Drosophila melanogaster: one gene and its partner. The protein of the gene in region 2 purifies or fractionates together with the protein of the main gene of each other region. This does not show direct contact. Each region holds a gene or a part of one and is shown on either strand. Other genes may lie near its edges.

Region 1 (7,962 bases), on a different chromosome or scaffold from region 2:
TTAGATAAAAAAGGTTTTTAATTTATGACTTTTTTCAGGATCTCAAACCATAACTAAAATAATATAATCTTTATAGGAAAACTACATATAAGTATATAAAATAAAAACAAATTGCTGTTTAATGCCCTTTTTTTCGAGTGTACATAGGTGAAGGGTTGGCAAACATCGGTGACACCAAAAGTGAACCCGTAGAAAGTTGCTTGGGGTCAGGCGTGTGCGGTTCTGGTGTTTGATTTCTTACTGCCAGTAAATAAGATACTTGAAAGTGGCTTTTAACAAATTTAAATGTGTAAATGAACGCGTTCCAATCAATGAAATGGTAGGCGTACTACAGGTGCTAATTAAGTGCAATATATTTTGTGAATTGAAGTACAATAAACTCATCTTATGAGGTAAATATTTGTTAAATTATTGCAATTTGGAGTAATTATCGAGGGGAAACAGTAAACTGTTTAGAAAGGTTAACGACCGATAGATTTACATACATATATCAGATATATTGTAATATAAATATGTATATATGTACTTAGCACAACATTTTCGATTGCAACCAATCTGATAGCATTACCTATAGGACTAAGCCCAGCTGCTCTTGCTCAAACTTGTGGATAGTATTATGTAACAACAACTGTTTTATAACAAAAGATGCGTTTGCTCAGCTGGGCTTATTCTCTTTAATTCGAAATATCGGTCGATCGAGGAGCGGCGACACTTACAAGCAAACAACAAAAGCCTTTGTATGTCCAGCGATTAGTCATCGCGAGTAACTGATCGATAACACTACTGGCCACTGTGCATAACTACACTGGGGAAAGTGTGCTCTTAAACTATTCGATTTTTATTATCTGCAAAGCTTATTTTTTTTAAGATATTTTGGCAGTCTTGAGGACTTTTTCTGAACACAAGATCCTTTAAAGTTTTACGTTAACCCCCTGGTTTTTATGTTCGAAGGAAGTTCTAAACGTTTATTGTCGCATTTCCTTGTCTTATCGCGCTTCGAACTTTTATTATCTTGGCTGGAATTAGATTTATGTTGTACAAGTTATAACCTAACCGAAATGACAATTGCCACATAATTCCCTCGCTGATATAATGGCTATTAAAAAACCAATTACGTTTAAATACCGTGTCCCTCTCTCAGGTACTTTTTACACTCATTTTCCCATTATCTCTCTATAAGTTCACCCGCCAAGTAGTATTGCATTTAAACGAAAACTTTTCGATGCGTAAGCAATTTGTTGAAAGCGATTTCGGACTTTTGAGAGTGTTGCGAATAGGGCTGCCACGTCACGCTAGAGACCGAAAATTGACAAGTGAATCAACTGAAATATGAACTAAAACTAAATTTAACTATCCAGGCAACGATTCATACAGCTTGCATAATTTCTTATAAGCTGAATCACTTGATCTACGTCACGTTTGTACATTCATGGTGTACAGTTTAACGATTTATTCACATGTAAAAAATGATAAACAAATAAGAGATTACGAAATAAATATTTTAAATTATGCTGCGATATGTTGCTGTTTGTATGTTATAATCACCCCGCATTTTATGGCGACTTGGCAACCCTGCTGTATTGTTGCACCTGGGAGAGAGCAAAAGAGAATGGCTAATATCATTGAAAGAAATAAAGTAAGGAGGGAACTGGATCTTGTCCCTTCCAGGAGAAAATTAAAATATATACCTAACAATGTTTCTTTATAGATGATTTCTGCACATTTACTGAACCTTTTACTTTGCCGTTTTTGAAACTAAGTAACTTTTTATCATAGTTTTTTTTTAGCGATACAGGATGACGCGTTTTCTAAAGGTGTTCGTCTGCCTCTCTTTGCACGGCTTCTCCCCTCTTTTACTCTCTCATTTACTGATAAGGCTCCGTTCGATTGGAGTGCTGTTTTTTGCCTCTGTTTTTTTGTGATAAAAGAAAAGGCATAAATAGTCCGTTCCACTGAACCACTCAATTAGTACTCAACAATAGCCCGTGGAAAGCGAATCAGCCAAAAAAGAAAGAAGAACGAAGAACGAGGAAGAAAGCAAGGAGTAGTTACAAGAAATATTTAATTAAAGCTCGCATCCTTGGCTCTCTCGCGCCGACTTTCTTTCGCTCTCTCCCGATCAATTGGAGATCTCTTCCGCTCGCGCACCACCCACTCTCTTTCTGACGCGTTTGTGCGTGTGTTGTGTACTTACTGTGTGCAAATCAATTAATTTTTTGTTGTTTGTTTGTTTTCGCAACGAAAACCAGAAGGAATATCGTAAATAATAAAATTAATTCCGCGTGCAAACATACATTGGAATAATGGCCGATATTCTCAACGTGGAGCAGCACCAAACGGTTCAGGAGTTCAAGCAGAATCTCGAGGAGCTCATTCCCAACGTAGGTGGCGCCACGGTCTCGACTACAGTGGATAACCGCTAAAGCAAACAACTATACCATACAAAAATATGCAATTAGGAACGCATATAAGGAAGATATCGCATTAAAGCATCTTTGAAAAATTGAATACGGATGTTAATTTTTAAATTCCTCACATACTTAAAAAAAACTTCGTTTTTAAATTGAGAGTCTTGAGTTGAACAGCCTTTAAAACGCTAATTTTGAATTTTTTATGACCCACAATTCACGTAATCACTCCCTCTCGATTTTGGTGTGTCTGTGTTTTTTTTTCGCCCTCTTTATTTTTCTGCCCTATCAACTTTTCTCGGAGCACTTTATAGCTTTTTAATCGATAACACCGACAGGTGCCACGCATACCAATACCCAATGCCAATAAGAGGGGCCTTTACAGTGAACACCTCCGATAAAGTGCACGCGCTTCAAACTGACCCACTACAGACCTCCCCCCGAAATTATGGCGAAAATCAGAATCACTTCCGTTCGATGTCAGTCAAATGTTGGCCAAAAGAATATCCCAGCTATCAGTCCGCTTGATAGTCTCTCTTTTGGCCAAGGACAACACCCTCGTTGGCTTAACGGTTTTCCCCCCGCGAAAACCCGTGAACCACCTATCATATCATTACCATACACGTAATCGTGTGCTGCTTTCGATTTTTTATGTTCATTTTTTGGCGCACAGAAATTTATCTTATCGACAAACAGCAAAAGCGGAGCAATCAACGCACCACTACTAAACCGAGTTACCAACCAGTGAGCCATAAATTCCACAGTCCAGTATATCAGCCGATCCAACTGCCCCTTTTCCCCTCAGATTTGTCCTATTTCGCACACCGAATATGGCGAAAATGTCGAACGTTTTATTATACCGTCCGGCTGAATACTTGGGTTTTCACCAATTTCGATATTTCGAATTGGGGGGTACCCATGGAAATCGCAACAATTTGGAGCAAAACTAACTAACTTCAAGCTTATTAAACTGTGGCATAGTTGAGGACTAAGCTACAATATGATTTTATGTGGAATATTAAACATATCAGCTGGGAATATTTTCAAAACATATTCCAAAATTATTATATTTTATTAAGAAAAAGTACTTATAATACATTATTACACGTTAAAATGTTATGTTTCCAAATAATTTAACCTTAATATTATTGAGTTAGGTTAGTTCTCAGTAAGTTTAAAAAGATAGTATACACTGCAACATAGATCAGCCACCGTTTTCAATGCTATTATAGTTTTAAACAAACGGGTTCGCATTTGTTAATTTAATTTTTCATTTTGTAACAACTTAAACCATAAACATAAATATTTCCCTTCGATGCCAACAATAAAAGCTTATCTAATCTAAATTATTTCAAGCATTTTGACCAAAAATCGCGTTTAAACCATTAAATATGACTAATAAATCTAAGTAAAGTGGTGAAACCCATATAATAATATATCGAATTGACTGGACTGTTTAATTATATAGCTCTTATATGTAAATCTGTTAAAGGAATCCCAGCTAGATTAAAATTAGTATTTAAAGTGGCCACCTCTTAGTCATTAAACTTTGCAAGAAATAATCAAGTCGGGTCCGAATCTCAAGTGTTTACAAACTGATTCATTCGTTCAGGCTTTCACTTCTTTAGTTCTTTTTTTTTTTTTTTTTTGTATATTTTCTCTTATTTTCTGTGGCGCCCACTCACGCTTTTGAACTGTATAAATTGAAGCGAACAATTTTCGATAATCAGCGATATGTCAGTCAGGTGGGAGATAAGACCCCTCGAACTGAAAACTGAAAAATGGAAATTAAATTCGATAAGGCTGGCACACAGACAATATAGCGATAAGGTTGCGGGAGATGGAATATAGCATTTTGCATTCCGAATTCCGCAGATAAAACAGGCACTGGAATGCGGCTGTGTGTTTGGCTTTCGGATTTGATTGATGACTCACAGATCGATCGTGGCAATAGGCGGCGGACAACTTACTCATGACCGGGGATTACTCATGGATCTTTCCTGTATTCAATTTGTATTGGTGTGCCCCTTAAGTCATTTTGAGTTCCGAGAAGGCCAGAAATTAAGTTTATGCCTCAGGAAAGGTCAATAATGTTTATGCCAATGTTAATGAAAACTGTCTAGATCTAATAGTTTTTGCAAATTGTTTTAAACCAATACTAATTAAAATCCCTCTCCTTCTTGTAGTTGGATGCCAACAAAGATGGCTTCATCGATCTGCACGAGCTAAAGGATGCCCTCAACCAGGTGGGCTTCAAGCTGGCCGGCTACCAGGTGCGCGAAATGATTGACGAGTACAAGGGCAAACAGCTGACTGCCTTCCAGGGCAAATTGAATCTGGAGGAGTTCGAGGCACTGTGCCTGGACCTGAAGAGCAAGGATGTGGCCAGCACATTCAAGACGGTCGTCTCCAAGAAGGAGAACTTGGAGACCCTGGGCGGCATGTCGAGCATTTCGTCGGAGGGCACCACCCATTCGGTGCGCCTCGAGGAGCAGCTGGCCTTCTCCGACTGGATTAACTCGAATCTGGGCCACGACAAGGATCTGCAACATCTGCTGCCCATCGATAGCGAGGGCAAGCGCTTGTATCTGAGCATCAAGGATGGTATTCTGCTGTGCAAAATTATCAACCACTCCTGCCCGGACACAATCGATGAGCGTGCGATCAACAAGAAGAACCTCACCGTCTACCGGGAGTTTGAGAACTTGACCCTGGCCTTGGTTTCCTCCCAGGCGATTGGATGCAACATCGTAAACATCGATGCCCACGATCTGGCCAAGGGCAAGCCACATCTGGTGCTGGGTCTTCTCTGGCAGATCATCCGCATCGGTCTGTTTAGCCACATCACCCTGGACAGCTGTCCGGGATTGGCTGGCCTACTCTTCGACAACGAACGTCTCGAGGATCTGATGAAGATGTCGCCGGAGGCCATCCTTTTGCGTTGGGTCAACCATCATTTGGAGCGAGCCGGCATCTCGAGGCGGTGCACCAACTTCCAGTCGGACATCGTCGATTCTGAGATCTATTCGCATTTGCTGAAGCAAATTGCCGGCAATGATGCTGATGTCAATCTGGATGCCCTGCGGGAATCCGATCTGCAGTCGCGCGCGGAGATCATGTTGCAGCAGGCCGCCAAGCTCAACTGCCGCAGCTTCCTCACGCCACAGGATGTCGTCAACGGAGTCTACAAACTCAATCTAGCCTTCGTGGCTAATCTGTTCAACAACCATCCAGGATTGGACAAGCCCGAGCAGATCGAGGGACTCGAGTCCATTGAGGAGACGCGCGAAGAGAAGAGTAAGTACTTAATATTTAGCCATACGTAAGATCGGTACAAAATACCGTTTTTATTTAATTGAAAATTAAACACAAGAAATCAAAGTTGATCAGGAAAAATCCAGGGTTTCTTATAAAAAAAATGTAGATATCAACTGCCACTTATATAGCATAATTAAAGCAATTATAAATATATATGTTTATCAATCGGCTTTGCACAAGAAGTGCAAGCCATAAAAACCGGGAATTTTTAGCTCGCAAGACCATTTATCACAAGAAGAATATAAGAATATAATACAATAATATATGTGTACTTATAAGAATACGATTACTTAGAATTATAATACTCAGGTGTTATATACATATTTGGAAAATATTTAACTTACACCAATCATTTCTATTTTTCTATCTAGCCTACCGCAATTGGATGAACTCAATGGGCGTGGCACCGCACGTGAACTGGCTTTACTCCGATTTGGCCGATGGTCTGGTCATTTTCCAGCTGTTCGACGTCATCAAGCCGGGTATTGTCAACTGGAGCCGTGTGCACAAGCGTTTCAGCCCGCTGCGCAAGTTCATGGAAAAGCTGGAGAACTGCAACTATGCGGTGGATCTGGGCAAGCAGCTCAAATTCTCGCTGGTCGGAATCGCAGGCCAGGATCTAAACGATGGCAATGCCACGCTGACGTTGGGTAAGCATTGCTATTCTAATTGTATTTTTGGATGTTACCAATTCTGAACTATCTTATGGTTACAGCTCTCATCTGGCAGCTTATGCGTGCCTACACCCTGTCCATTCTGTCCCGCTTGGCCAACACTGGCAACCCCATTATCGAGAAGGAGATCGTCCAGTGGGTGAATAACCGACTGTCGGAGGCAGGCAAACAGTCGCAGCTGCGTAACTTCAACGATCCGGCCATCGCCGATGGCAAGATCGTGATCGATCTGATCGATGCCATCAAGGAGGGCAGCATTAACTACGAGTTGGTGCGCACTAGCGGAACACAGGAGGTGAGTCCTGACTATGTCATGATATGTGGCAGACTAAACTAGCGCTTATTGATTCCGCAGGATAACCTGGCCAATGCCAAGTATGCCATCTCCATGGCCCGCAAGATCGGCGCCCGTGTCTACGCCCTGCCCGAGGACATCACCGAGGTGAAGCCGAAAATGGTGATGACCGTTTTCGCCTGCATGATGGCCCTCGACTACGTGCCCAACATGGACAGTGTGGACCAGAACAACCACAACAGCTCCGCCAACAACAGCAATTAGGCGCCATAGCCACAACTCATTTATACATAAACAAAAGGATGGGATTTTGAAAGGGAAGAACAGAGTGGGAACTACGTAAATTTGTCGTATTCGCTAATTACTAATAACTCTATTCGATTGCGTTCCTTCCTGCGCTACCAATACATTTTTGTGTTTTTTTTTTATTTCAATTACTTTTTGTAATTTTTTTATTATATATTTATATATTATATAATTGAGTATGAGTTTCCCCCTATTGTAATTAAGCAAACAGATTTTAGAGTGTCGCACATCTGTTTTCGAGCCCGGCGGGGTGTTTCTTAATTAGTTTTGTTTAACAATTGATTAATTATACAACTGTAACCTTATTTTATAAATAAAGGTTTAGCTTGTTCCGCTTAAAATCCTTAAAAGAAAAGAATGGTGAAACAAAAGAAAGAAAAAAAAAGCGACTTGTGCAGGATTAAGAAAGAATTATAATATTAACATTGCGACGAAAACAATTAACTCTGTAATATATATACATATATATTTATATACGATTACGATATGCGTCTATATACATAACATATAAATTTACATAAATCGATATATTTTTCCATAAACGCGTTGCCTAAAGAAAGATAACGAACGAAGATCAGGAATGGGGAATATTCAGAAACAAAAGAAGTCGAGAAAAACAGAGAAACTAATTTTATATTTACTATAAATTTTTTTGCGAGTAATTGTAAGACGCCTTTGTTTATGTGTTTTTTTTTCAACGTGCGTGTTTGTTCAATTTCTTTTTACATATTTGTATAATTTTGCGTTTAAGTGCGTTAGAGCGAGGTGGCAATAGGTATCGCCAACACGGCGTAGAAAGAGAGGGCAACAAACATTTTTAGTGCAATGAGGCGACATACAAATCCAAGAGAAAAAACGAATTAAGAAGAAGATGAAGTAATATTATATGCAGAATAAAAGTAAAACAATAAAGAAAATAAAAATACCAATATAAAAGCCGTTTCACTTAATAAGTCATAAT
Region 2 (3,250 bases):
GTTATGCTTGGAATGCAAAATGGGCAGCACAATTGGTGAATATACTATACATTGAATTACGCTTGTGTGTCAATAGTTTAACGACCAAGCGACCCCATTAAAGTTATCCAACATTTGAGGCCAGTCGAATCGCACTGATAGGAACATGTTTGGCCTTACTTTACAAACTTCATATCTGGCCAATAATCATAATTCTGCAAGTGGTGTTCAATTATCGACATTAAATACAAGAGTATTAATTATAAGTTACTCTGATAACAGTGTTGTAACAACTGATTAAATTAGATTGCTTCAATAAACAAGAAGAGTTATTCACCTGATTGCATTTTACAATATATGTACATATAACACGCTTGACTTGTAAATTGCAAAATGAAAACAAATATGAATCATTGGGCAAATAATATAATATAAATAATATACCCTGCATAGAAGCAATATATACACACATATTCCATTGACTTAACTAGGTCATTTTTGATTAGTTAAGCTAATCAGTTTTATTCAAAATATTTAGGTATTGTAGAGAAAATATCATTTTATAGCATATATTCATTCATTTCTAACGAAGCATAAGCCCGGTCTTTCTTACTTCAAGCATATTTGAATGAAATACTCTTATATAAGTTTAAAACAAAATGCTAATTAACATGAATTTATGAACGCAAGGCATTATGTCACCAAGTTCAAGATCAGCCGAATTAAAACAGGCTTGTCGCCGAACGTCACTCTTTGAACAAACCCGTTTACTGGGTTTGTCGCAAACTTGTCTTCGTGAAGTGGAATTTACAACCCACTTAACATGAAGTGAAGTGAGTACATTCAGATAAAAGACCGAAGAATTGTTTATGTTTCACACAGAAACCCTATACAAGTAGATTTGTAAATAAAAGATATAAAGGCAGAGACTAAATGAGCTCATGGAGAGCCAAGAGAAACCACAAGAATTGCTCTATCGCACAGCAAGATGCAACAGTTGTCCCACCCCTCGAAGTCTGAATGCTCCTCCGTCTTTTCTCTTTCTCAGAAGAATTCATTGGGTTCGCATGAACTTGCGAATACGGCTCACTTAGAAGCGACGAAATTAGGTCATTAATAGTATTTTGCCAAGGATAAGGTCACCGCCATCATTGTTTTTTCTGGGCACTTGCGTGCAAATAGACCAATAAACAATGGGTACCGCAGTAAGGCGATGTTTTTGCGTGAGGGTGGAGCAGAATGGTGTCATCCTCTCCGGGGAACTGGAACTCACCTCCCCAAATGCCAATCTTCAGCTGGTTCCGGTCCAAGTTCTCGATGTAGTCGCCGAGCACCTTGTTCAGCACATCGGCCACCACCGCCTCGAAGACCATTGTGTCCTAGCAGATGCTCCTATTGATTTTCCTCCAAGTTTGTGGTTGTTATTCCAATTGATGTGGTCGTGGTGAGTGCTTCAAACAATCTGGCGTTCGCTGTGCGGTCTATAGTTGATCTAAAATACATGCATATGTAAACACAGAAACCAAACAGATGGAACGGAGAGACGGATTAAAACACAATGTCGATGATGTCATCGTTGAACGCATTTCAAATATTTTGGCACAATCCGCCAGGCCCATTGTTCCAAAATAAACTAACAAGCCAAACGATTGTCCAGGGTCAGCTGGAGTAGGGCTGGTGCGATTAACTCACTACTCCACTCCAGAGCACGTGTGCAACGCCCGTTCTTATCTCTATTTACTGCACCCAATTACCAGCGGCATTTCCACGCGACAAAAAAGTAGTAACTCCGTGCGATGCGCGTTCTTTAAATGCTCGCCCGAAACTAACAGCTGTTGTGTTTTCCGTTTGCGTTCTCCACCTGGGGACGCTCAATCAGCTGTTCGGTCGCGTTCCCGGGCGAATGGCAAACTGTTAGGTGACGTGTTTGACCGTGCGAATTGCTGAGCTATAGGAAAAATATTTATAAAACACCATGCAAACACGTCTTGTTTTGCTGCTGCTAGCTCTGACCCCGCTCGTCCTGGCCAAGAAGTTCAAGGAGGAGGAGAAACCGGCGTGGGCCAAAAAGGATATACGCGACTACAGCGAGGCGGACCTCGAGCGTCTGCTAGATCAATGGGAGGTAGGTAACAACACTGCGATTGGAAAGCGACACATCGGACCCAACTCTCCAGATTCGCACCTAGCAAGGGAGTAATGCCAACCCTTTAGATTCCCACCTATCTAAGGATTCATCATTTGTAGAGACGGATAACTGATACCCCTTCTTTTAATCTTCTCTTAGGAAGATGAAGAGCCCCTCGAGGATGATGAGCTGCCCGAGCACCTGCGCCCCCAGCCCAAGCTGGACCTGAGCAATCTGGACAGCAAGAGCCCCGAGGACCTGCTCAAGGTGTCCAAAAAGGGGCGCACGCTGATGACCTTCGTTTCGGTGACCGGTAATCCAACCCGGGAGGAGAGCGACACCATCACCAAGCTCTGGCAGACAAGCCTCTGGAACAACCACATCCAGGCGGAGCGCTACATGGTTGACGATAACCGCGCCATCTTCCTCTTCAAGGACGGCACACAAGCCTGGGACGCCAAGGACTTCCTCATCGAGCAGGAACGCTGCAAGGGCGTAACCATCGAGAACAAGGAGTACCCAGGTGTCAATGCGAAAAAGGACGAACTGTAGGCCGGTTCCACGGCATACCAGCACATCAAAACATTCTCACTATTTAAGATCAAAGTTCAATTAAAATAAAACAAATTTATTAAACAAACTTATTAAAGAAGCTACATATGTATTTTGCTTGGCCATTCACAGGGAAACGGCTCCGTTTGCGGGATGGAATAAATATGGATAAAAATATGAATATTTCAATAAACATATTTTGAATATAATATTTGTATCTCTATTAGATTGTTTATATACACTGCGTATGTGTCAAATCAAAAACAAAATAAATGAAAAATTTAAGCAAAACTCTAAATTAATCGCTGACCAACTACACAACTCACGGTGCCATCGGCAAAGTTATCGTATCGCCTTTCAAATGTTTCGAGCTCCAGCTCCCCTCTGTGTGACCTTAAGTCAACAAGACGCCACCCGCGAACCGCGACGTGCTCTACTTGCTCCGCCTGTTGAGTAGCTGTTCCACCAAGAAGATGCCCGTCCAAGCCAAGATCGGTCCCAGCATTCTCAATGCGGATCTCTCCAACCTAGCGGCGGAGTCACAGAAACTACTGGACAATGGAGCGGACTACCTGCATCTGGACGTGATGG

Evidence for each region. The genes of interacting proteins can lie anywhere in the genome.
Region 1: the proteins of boca (region 2) and Fim purify together in Drosophila melanogaster (affinity purification with mass spectrometry, with the first as the bait; one large-scale study listed by BioGRID). This does not show direct contact.

What each region holds. Positions count from the first base shown.
Region 1 is NC_004354.4:17,285,670-17,293,631, reverse strand, and holds Fim (fimbrin), read left to right. Parts: upstream 1-1,962; 5' UTR 1,963-2,303; coding exon 2,304-2,381; intron 2,382-4,594; coding exon 4,595-5,705; intron 5,706-6,097; coding exon 6,098-6,376; intron 6,377-6,441; coding exon 6,442-6,695; intron 6,696-6,755; coding exon 6,756-6,959; 3' UTR 6,960-7,928; downstream 7,929-7,962.
Region 2 is NT_033778.4:7,565,367-7,568,616, reverse strand, and holds boca (boca), read left to right. Parts: upstream 1-1,878; 5' UTR 1,879-1,954; coding exon 1,955-2,104; intron 2,105-2,266; coding exon 2,267-2,659; 3' UTR 2,660-2,744; downstream 2,745-3,250. Other genes in the region: Vps13 (vacuolar protein sorting 13), read right to left, coding at 1,253-1,352; Rpe (Ribulose-5-phosphate-3-epimerase), read left to right, coding at 3,133-3,250. UniProt on the Drosophila melanogaster protein: Chaperone specifically assisting the folding of beta-propeller/EGF modules within the family of low-density lipoprotein receptors (LDLRs). Acts as a modulator of the Wg pathway, since some LDLRs are coreceptors for the canonical Wnt pathway.